Drosophila melanogaster: one gene and its partner. The protein of the gene in region 1 purifies or fractionates together with the protein of each later gene. This does not show direct contact. Each region holds a gene or a part of one and is shown in the gene's direction. Other genes may lie near its edges. The genes, in order: dpr12 and cDIP.

Region 1 (5,252 bases):
AAAAATTTTATTTTGTAGGCGGTCTTAATTCCGTCAGCATTCTCGATTCCGTAAATCTTTTGCAAGTGAGTCTTACCACTGGTGGTGTTGGTTCCAAAAGCTATTTATCCCCTCTACCCCCAACAACCCCCTCAAAAGTTCTCCCTTGACGAGCAAATCTTTATAACAATTAGTTCACACCAACTTTGCAAACGTCCATTATCTAGACCAATCAAAAGGTAACGTGTGTCCATTGTTCAAAACTGCACGCTTAGGTGTCCCACACGTAACTTGCTTCCGACTGTCGCTTACCCAAGCCTTTCAGAACTTATGCCCCATTTTAGCATTTACAATCCCCACCCATGGCAATGCCAAAATTGTATTAAAATTACAAAATCAATCCTTAGCAAACAAAAAAAATATATAAAAAATAAAATTTAATTTATATACGACAATATATAATACAAAATGTTAAACTTCAAATCATACATACACTCAGCTGCTATTGCTCATTCATATTGTTAGCTTTTAATTTGCACTAAGCATTTAGCAATAAATAAGTAAATAAAAAAATATTTATAAGATGTAAATATTTGAATATTTATTATTTATTTATTTATTGGCTGAGTCGCGGCCCTCGACAAAGGCACTTCTTGTTGTCACTTGCTCCTTTGGTCGCCAAAAAGCAGGCTTATATTTCATACGAGCTGAAACTGAAAGGAAAAAGTGCAATCGTTGATAATAAACATTACGTTCCAGGTGTCGACAGAAGCAGCACAGTAGGCTGGCGGGGAAAGGTGCGACCAAAGGTGAGCGGAGTCATACTGAATGAACCAAGCATATTGATCATTGACTGAACGGCCGGCGAACATGCGAATCAACCACAAACCCAGAGCCAGATGTCGGCTGTTGTCGGTTGTGTGAGTGCAGTGCAGTTATTTTAGTGAGTGGTGGCAATAATTCAATTCGGTACATTTTAAGCCCGAAAGGCGTACGGCAGCGCGCAGACACGTGCAGGGCGACTCCGCTGCCTAATTAAGGGTACTAGGACTCGAACGACCGCCAATCGATGCAGCTTATACAATTTGCGATCGCACTCCATTCCCAAAACGTTTTCAATCGCCACAGCTTCCTTTGTGCGTCCAGGACGCGCGTCCGGCCAACCGGCGCTCTTCCGCTCCTCCGCCATTCCGCCCTCAAGTCCGCCGCGCGCCAAGGAGGAGCTCATGCAAAAGCAATTTCCTGAACTTTTACCCGACCGCTGATGCAGGCACACAGACTCACAGACACACACGCATCCTCTGGCAGATTAAGACGGCGACCCAACTCGAAACGCATTGGCCGACTCGTGGATGCCACAGCACTTGAAAACCAATACGAATGCGATTATGCCCCTGCAAGAGTGAGTGTGCGTGAGCTGGCGCTCTCGCCCGCACACAGCCACTCCAGCGTGGAAATGGCGGGCTGTAAGTAAGAAATCATTAAGGTTGGTCGGCACACTAATGGAATACGACAAGCGGCATGTGGGAACACACTCTTGCACTTGTCCTGCATCCTGGTGGCCACCGATAGCTGTCGTTGTAGTTGTCAGTTGGCCGGGGGATTTGCTCCACGTTCGGTTTTGGTCACCGCAAAAGTTTAGTTGCAAGTTGCGGCTCCGCTTGCGGCGGTCATCCGTCCGTCGGGCGTGCGTGCCATCTGACTGCCAGTTGCATTAGGATATCAATTTGCGGGACACTGATTCGCCAGTTTACTTGCGAAGTGTGGGTGCCAAAAGAGGTCCGGCTGTTGGGGTCCTTCAGCAGCCAAACGCTCCGGCACGTGACATTGGCAAAGTGAGTTCCGTTCGCAAATGTGACACAATTTGGTCATCTTGGGACCAAGGAATTCAGAGTCTCCGCGAAGACCCCTAAGAGAGAGCGCGAGAGCGAGCGCGGAAAGGACTCTCTTAGGTTACCAGAGCCCTGGAAGCCATGGAATTCAGGTGTAGCGTATGGACTCATCGGGCCAAGTCGGGGACCGAAGGCCATGCGCTGATTCGTGTCGCTGACCTAAAAGCTTGAAGAAGCTTCCGCTCAGCTTTCGCTCAGCTGAGCCAGGCGCAGGCGCAGACGCTCCCTTCCAGTGGCGAGCGGTTTCCGAATGCGTAGGAGTCCTGGTAGTCCTGTCAGTTCACTTCGTTTGCTCGTCGAAAGCTGTGCATGCTGCGGAAGCGACGGCATCGCTCGTTACCCCATTAGCAACAACAACACATCGAGCATTGACATACCATTCAACACAGCAACAACAAGGCCGTACTGAGTGCCGGACTGAGGCTGAGGTTGGATTTGAAGTTGGGGGCTTCCGGCGGCAAAAGTGCGTTTAAAATTACCAAAGTTGTCCCAATTAAAGGGTGCAGCGCGACTAACAAGTTCAAGTTGGATGTTTCGCCGCGCGAGCGACGTATTATCCCTGCGAACTCCTTTGTGCTCGCGGAAACTGGTGCGTGGCGGGCGTAAAATTCGCCAGTGACTCCGCGTTAAGTCAACTGTTCCTGCGAACTACTGCGAGTGCGAGGGCACGTTGCAGCCAACGGTGGCAAAAAGTAAAAGCGGAAACGTAAACCGAAACCGAAACGCCTGAGCGCCAGAGGTATTGAGAATCCGGGAAATCGAGAACAGGCATCGGTAGTGACAACTGTGAAATGTGCGGCTGCATTGTCGTTTTGCCACCACTTTGACCCAAATCGCATTGAATTCGCGTTGTGCCGGAGTGCGGGCTCTGCGGACGCCTAATGGCTTAGTGCGAGCAGTGCATGATCAATAAGCACCAATCGAAGCTCGCGAGTGCCCCACAGCTAGACATAAGAAAACGAGATCCACCAGCAATTGGAATCCTCTGAAGCATCGGTTCCGGGATCAGCCGTACTTGGTAAGTGATTCACAGCTAGTTGGCCGTTTCTCGCTTGTGAGTATGACATGTGGTTGACGGGAGGCTTGGGACTTGTCATCTTCCGCCGCTTCCTTCTGACTTACTCCAGACACGAGTTAGCTTATTTACGTGGGACTTGTAAGTTTGGGCTTTGGTTTATAGCCTGTGGCAAGAACTAACTTGACTGCTGTCAAACATACGACACGAACGTGTCTTGCAAAACACAACACCTCTAACTCATTAAGGGAGGTAAATGCCTAACTGCGTTGGTTATCAACCAAGAAAAGTTTAAATGAAATTAGGATTCGGCTGCACAAAGTCCGCAAGAGGAGGCTTGCAAAGTGGCCACATCTAGGATTCTGCTTAATTCATAGTAGAGAGTATTTTTCAGTGATTATTTTAGATGACTATATCAATGCGGTTTGCTTTCAGTTTTATAGTCAGAGAGTTCACTTAGAAAGGGATACATAAAGCTTATGTATGGTCCAGAACATAACTAATTTAGTCTTGTTTGGGAACACAGAAAGAAGCTGTCAAAACATCAAAAGCACTTGCAACATCGAAGATAAATTGATAGATAGATTAAAACTACTTAGTTTACTGAACAAAGTCCTTCACAACTATATTATCAACCCCCTAAGGTCGATGGGACTACGATATAGCCGGACTGGAGTTGGAAAAACTGCCGAAGCTTATTCATACACGCAGTGGCTCATGCAAATGGGAGATCGGGAATCCGACGGCTTTCTTGTGAAATAACAAAATGAAAGCGCAAGCTAAATATTTGCTAACAAAGTCCTTGGATACGGGCGCTAATGGCGAAGCTTGTTTTTGTGTATGTGACGGAGCCCCCAGCGATAAGGCACGGGGTCTTGTTTTCGTGGGGTTGGCTGGGCGATTAAGTCTGCGTTAGCCGAGACGTCAGAGGAGCGGCCACGCAGAAAGCAATTAAATGTATTTCCGCTCCAATGTCAAAATTAATGCGCGTTTCATATTTAAAAGCGTGAATGCACGTACACACGAGCATGTAGAGAAAGGTCATCGGGACGACAGGATGTGTGCGCGCGGAAGTCCTATGTCAATGCTGGACTGTCACCGGACAAGTGGGTCGAACGAAGCAGGAGCATTTTATCACCTCGGGGACTCACAGGCATGTCCGTAGCCGGACAGCTGTGGGCAAGTGGGGCACGCCCCGTTGCTATCGCCCTGCCCTGCCGGTGAAGCCGGAACCAATGGGGCGGCCCAGTTTTATGACTTGTAGTTCGACACCTCGTGTGCTGGCTAATGAGCGTGGAAGACTTGCGTAATGTGTGTTTATCATCCGCCCCGAGGCCGGCCGACTTTTTTGGTCATGGAACCGCAAATACTCGAATGTATTTAAATTGCAACTCTACTAAAAGGCGATTTGATTTGATTTGATTTTCTGCTGTGCTGTGTGCACGTGTGTGCCTGTGTGCCTGCCAGTGTGTGTCGTATATATGTAGTTCGGCAAGGTTTTTGCTCAACTCTTCCCATAGCAATCTATGCAAAATATTCACAGCCATAAGAGAAAAGTCAAATAAAAAACAACCAATATTTAAATAACGGATTACAAGCCAGTCGGCCAAAGAAGCCGGAGCTGATGCTGCTGCCACAGCAAAAACATAAATGGGAACAAGCGCCGTTGGAGGGCATGTAAGTTTCCCATTTAGTTATGAGGCCCGCTTTTTGGCCAAATGCCTGAACGAGTCGCTGGATCAGTGCGTAGACTGGCTGGCAGCCTGCTGGTGCCTTCTCAACGTTCCTGCTTCATTTCACTTCATTGTGTCTCCGGCGAGAGTCTTTGTTTTTATTCTGTTTTTTAAATCTTGTCATTCCTAGGAGTCCGTTTATTGCACGATGACATCATCTTAGGACGCGTCCTCCGGGGCATTTCACCCGATATTCAAATGCAAAGCTACCTCCCTACCAGGCATAACTACCAGTATTCAACGTACTTAATTGTATAAATTCTATTCCAAACGAACGGTTAAGTATAATTTAAGACGCCGCTGGCCGTTCGATTGCCATTCTGTCCGGGATGAAGCTGTACAATCCGGGCACTGCCAACTTTTAATTTTAATTTATTTTTGTGACTCTTGGTCCGAGCTGACCGGCTTATCTTTCTGCCATTGTGTTCAACCCGCATTGTGCAACCCTTTGCAGATATATATCGGCTGGCATCTTTTAGTGCTTTCCGTTTGATTGCAACTTGCAATCCGAGATTTTGGCAAAGTCCATCGGGCTCCAAGCGCAAAAGCCTGCCAAAGGAGAGAGAAGTGAGTGGATGCTATTAGGGGATAAAAATGGACCAGGCTTTGGGAAAATAAAGTCAATCAAATAGT
Region 2 (4,615 bases), on another chromosome or scaffold:
ATTAATATCTTTTGATGGACTAAGGACTGCATATGGTTTCGATTGAAACTTTAACTATCTTAACTATCTTCACTTTCTTAGCTTGATTTCTTATCTTTAAAGCGAATAATGTATTTCCCCGCATTTGCTGCATCTAATTAAGCTATAAATATGTTCATAAAATCAGTCTACACTGATATAAACTAACTTGTTTCGTAGCAAAAAATTGGATATTATTTATAAAGCCATAGTTATTGAAAGCATTTCCGCCTTAGAACAAATTTACAAAAGCACTTGGACATAAACTTGCCAATTTGAATGGCAATTAGCTCATTTTCCAGTTATATCACCATCTAGTTGCGTCATCATTGCAGTCAGATGGGTGGAACAACCTTTGGATATCCTGAGCATTTAGCGTTCGAATGACCAATAAACCCAATGAAATAAATCAAGTGCCATAAACCGACGGCGCCATATAAAAGCACCCACAATAGAGGCGTAAAATGGTGCGCTATATGTTCTGATTTAATATATTTCTATATCGCATTTGTTTACACTGCTAAACTATTGGGCGAATTTGATTTGAATAAAGTACAGACGGCGGGGACAAAGTCTCGACAGAATAAAAGCCTGGTAATTTTCACTCTTTGTTTTTTTTTTTTTATTTCTCGAAACTTGTATGCAAAGTAATTGCGGCAAATTGAATTCAACAAAGGGGGCACAGGCGAAAAAGTGAAAAAAAGACGCTAAACGAAGTCATGCCGTTTCAATTGAGATACAATACACAGCTACAATAGATACAGATACAGCTATGGCAAATGCCATGCAAAGAACAAAAGTCGTCTTGAGTCGAGTAATTTAAAAGCCATTGGCTCATAATAAGCCCAATGCAAACAGGCAGATCAATTGTGAATACATAAAGTGAAAAAAATTAGCCATCGATATTCAAATTGTTTGTTTGCCCAGGCGGCCAAAGCCGAGAAAATCCCAACGCAAACGAATGGAAAATTAATTTTTAACATTTCAACAAGCGTATAAATTTGTTTGCATACAAATTAATAAGGCTCTACCTGTCATAATCTTTTTGTTTTCGCCCGCTAAGCTGCAACTGGCAAATTGAACGACTGAGAAAGCAGGTTGAACGTGTTCTCAAAACCGCTGGCATGTTGGCTAAATAATTGGCTAAATATTTTACACATTTTTCCACTGGACATGTCACCGCTTCGCAGGCGAAAGTTCTGGTTTCGCTATATTTACGAATGTTTTTCGTGTAAAGGTGCCTACATTCTTGCCTGATTGCTTTAAAAATAAGACTAGGAATAAATGCAGACGACAAAGTAGTTAACGGAAGTTCGTTTGCTCTTATCAAACCGAAACTCAAATGCCCTCCACTGAATTGTTCGCCTGATAAATAATGAGTCATTCGGGCAATCATCAGCAAAACTACACAACGCAAGGCAGTGCCAACAAAATGCTAAATGGCTGTTGTGTAAATTATATAGAAGGTATTTTAAGCAACGTTTCCACGCGCCTATATTTTCGATGGTAAAAGCCAAAGATGGATGGGCCCCAATGAAAATACTCTTACATAAAAATGGGCGAATGTCTGGCCTCATGTCCACTATCAGCAGCCAAAAGAGATTTCCACCTTTTGTTCAGCAAATCGCTAAGTAAACACTTCATGATAAGAGAACACACTGGAAATGAGTGGGAATTGCTCCACAGATATTGTACAAAGTTTTGTTTTTTTTTTCAAAGTCTGTGAGTTTTGAATGGAGCCAACAGAGCGAGAACTTCCATAGAGCAGCAAAAAATCATGAATAATAAACGGAAAAGCAGCACAGACAAGTGTCAAAATAATGATAGGTACAAAAAAAAACAAACCGATTTTCATCTCTCTCGTACAGCAAAAGATGTTAATTTCTTTTAAAAGGAGTTCCCAGACAAATAATTGTAATTAAATCTATTAATTAGTCAGCAGTGATTTCCAAAGCATCTCAATTCTTCGAAATAGAAATAGTATTTCAATCCGATTTCAAAAAAAAGAAAAAAACCCTGCCTTACATTTTCGAAATGCGCTGTACCCGCCACAGATGAACCATATTTATTTTCGCAAAATCAGAACACCATGAATAGAATGGGATGGCAATTATATAGAACTGATGATCGTTATTTGAGCATTATAGAGGAGCTTATCTGGCCAGGCGTTTGGCGGTCAACGTTTGGAATCAGTTTCAGGTCGAACGTGAATCGTGGAGCACGCCAAATGTACGTCCGGAATTGTCTGCCGTTCCTCTGCAGCTATTTGCTGATCTCATTGGCGGCCACAGCTACTACGGATGAGGACGCGGATGCTGATGTGGATAGTGGCTCATCCCGAATAGTGCTGGTCTCCAGCTTGGAAGGTCATTGCCAGACGGAGGGCAAGGTGACCAGCTGCAGGGGCTTTGAGTTTGCGGGAGAGGACGAGAAGGCCACCTTTGATCTGCCAACGGAGGTGCGGATTGCCGAGGATGGCACCACCTACGAAGTGGGCGATGAGGAGCACTCGCGAACCCTGATCTTCGAGAACTGCACCTTCACCAATTTTCCCCTGCGCTTATTTTACACACTAGAGGTCAGTGAGCTGGACATGCGCGGCTGTGGCATCCGCTTCATTTACTGGGAGAACTTCTCCATTGGTGCGGATAAGCTGGTGATTCTTCTGCTCAGCGATAATCACATCGAAGTGCTGCCCACGAAAACCTTCAGGGGAGCAGGAAACTTGGAGTTTATCTTCCTGAATCGCAACAAACTAGGCAAACTGCAGGCGGGTGCGTTTGATAATCTCCTGAAATTACAGTACCTGGATCTCACAGAGAATCGCCTGGAGGCTTTAGCCGCGGACGTATTTGCCGGACTGAAGAGTCTGCGGCACGTGGGACTGGCCGGTAATCAACTGACCACCATTGAGAGCGATTTATTTGCCCACAATCCGGACCTTTTGTCGGTCGCAATGCAGAACAATCGACTGCGAGAGGTGGGCGAGTATGCCTTTCGATCCCGCGGACGACACCATCAGATGCAGTATGTGGATCTATCGAATAACCCCGAGCTGGTCGTTCTACTGCTGAACATTAACGCCACCAATTTGACCGCTCGCAATTGCTCGCTGGACCGTGTCAATTTGTACGGATCGGTGACGAATGTCGATCTGAGCGACAATCGCGTGCGCGAGCTGTACTTTCCCGCCTCCGAGGCACTGGAGCATTTGGTGCTGCGCAACAACTCGCTGGTTCAGCTGGCGTCGTTGAGCCGCGTGCCCAGACTCCGGCACCTGGATGTGGCGGACAATCCGAACCTGGGTCAGTTGCCCGACGGTTGGCGGACGCCACATCTGGAGATGCTGGTGCTGCGGAATACGGGCCAGATGGAACTGCCGCTGGAGGCGTTGCAGGGTATGCAAAATTTGCAGAAACTTGACATATCCGGCAATAATTTGACGGAAATCGATCCATCCGCGTTCCCCACGCTCACGCAACTAACGCACTTCTATATTCATGGAAATAACTGGAACTGCTTCAGCCTGAGAAACATAATGGATGTGCTCATTCGTGCCAATGGCATTGCCTATACCGTGGATAACTACGATCCCGATTTTCCGGGGGAATACTTTCACGGAATAGCCTGCATGTATCGCTTGCCCGAAAAAGAGGGTGTGGACTCCTCCTCCTCTTCGGAAATCTCCGCCAGCGTAGAGTCCTCGCCCATAACAAGTAGTTCTGATCCCAGCGAGGTGGACAAACTGCGCGATGAACTGAAAGCAGTGGTGCAGCACTTTGATTCCAAGTTCGATTTGATATTCAGTAAACTGGCCCAATTGAATGAACAAATTCAGGCCTTTGAAGTGCTCAACAAAACTGTTTGGAGTCAAGTGACCTTGTCCGTTTGAAGTTGTTAAATATGGCCCATTTTTTATGTGATCACTACATTTTCAAAGCTTTACAATTATATGTATACATTATAATTAATATTTGAAGTATTTCCTAAAGCTTCTTAATTTTAAACATAAAATCTTTCGATCCAATAAATAAATCATTTTTTAAATTGTTGGAAGAATTCCACTAAAGAATTCGCGTGTATGTTTTTTTTACCAGTTCTTGATAATATACAAAGTTGGAACCATAATCTAACAAAACAGGAAGGCTTTTCGTCTTTGTTTAAGATTTAGTTTCCTAGAATATCATTTTTTTCTACGCCTATTCAATTCCTAATCTCGAAAACAATTTCTGCTCCATTTCCCTGCTGATTTTGCATACTCAACCCCAAAAAACCAATACAATTTGCAACATGAGCACATCTAGTAAATATTTATTGCTCGCTGTGTCGTATACGTAGAATAATATTTAAACAATAATATTGATTTTCGAGCAAAGCAAAGTTGGGTTCTTTTTCTGAAAGATATTGAAAGAGGTTCGTTCAACTCGGGCTGGCGAACCAAAATGGAAAAACGAGAAGAAAACTGGAGGGCGAAGACAAGATGGTGGGGCTCGGGGAACTTGAGTTGAATTGAACAAAGTCAAGTCAATTACAAAACCAATATTTTCGGAAACTAAACAACAATATTGAATTCGATCGAATGGACCAGAAACCGAGT

What was found.
Region 2: the proteins of dpr12 (region 1) and cDIP purify together in Drosophila melanogaster (affinity purification with western blotting; 2 studies listed by BioGRID). This does not show direct contact.

The regions. Positions count from the first base shown.
Region 1 is NT_033778.4:5,802,566-5,807,817, forward strand, and holds the start of dpr12 (defective proboscis extension response 12), read left to right. Parts: upstream 1-2,146; 5' UTR 2,147-2,889; intron 2,890-5,252.
Region 2 is NT_033777.3:21,158,685-21,163,299, reverse strand, and holds cDIP (common Dpr-interacting protein), read left to right. Parts: upstream 1-2,207; 5' UTR 2,208-2,245; coding exon 2,246-3,910; 3' UTR 3,911-4,062; downstream 4,063-4,615.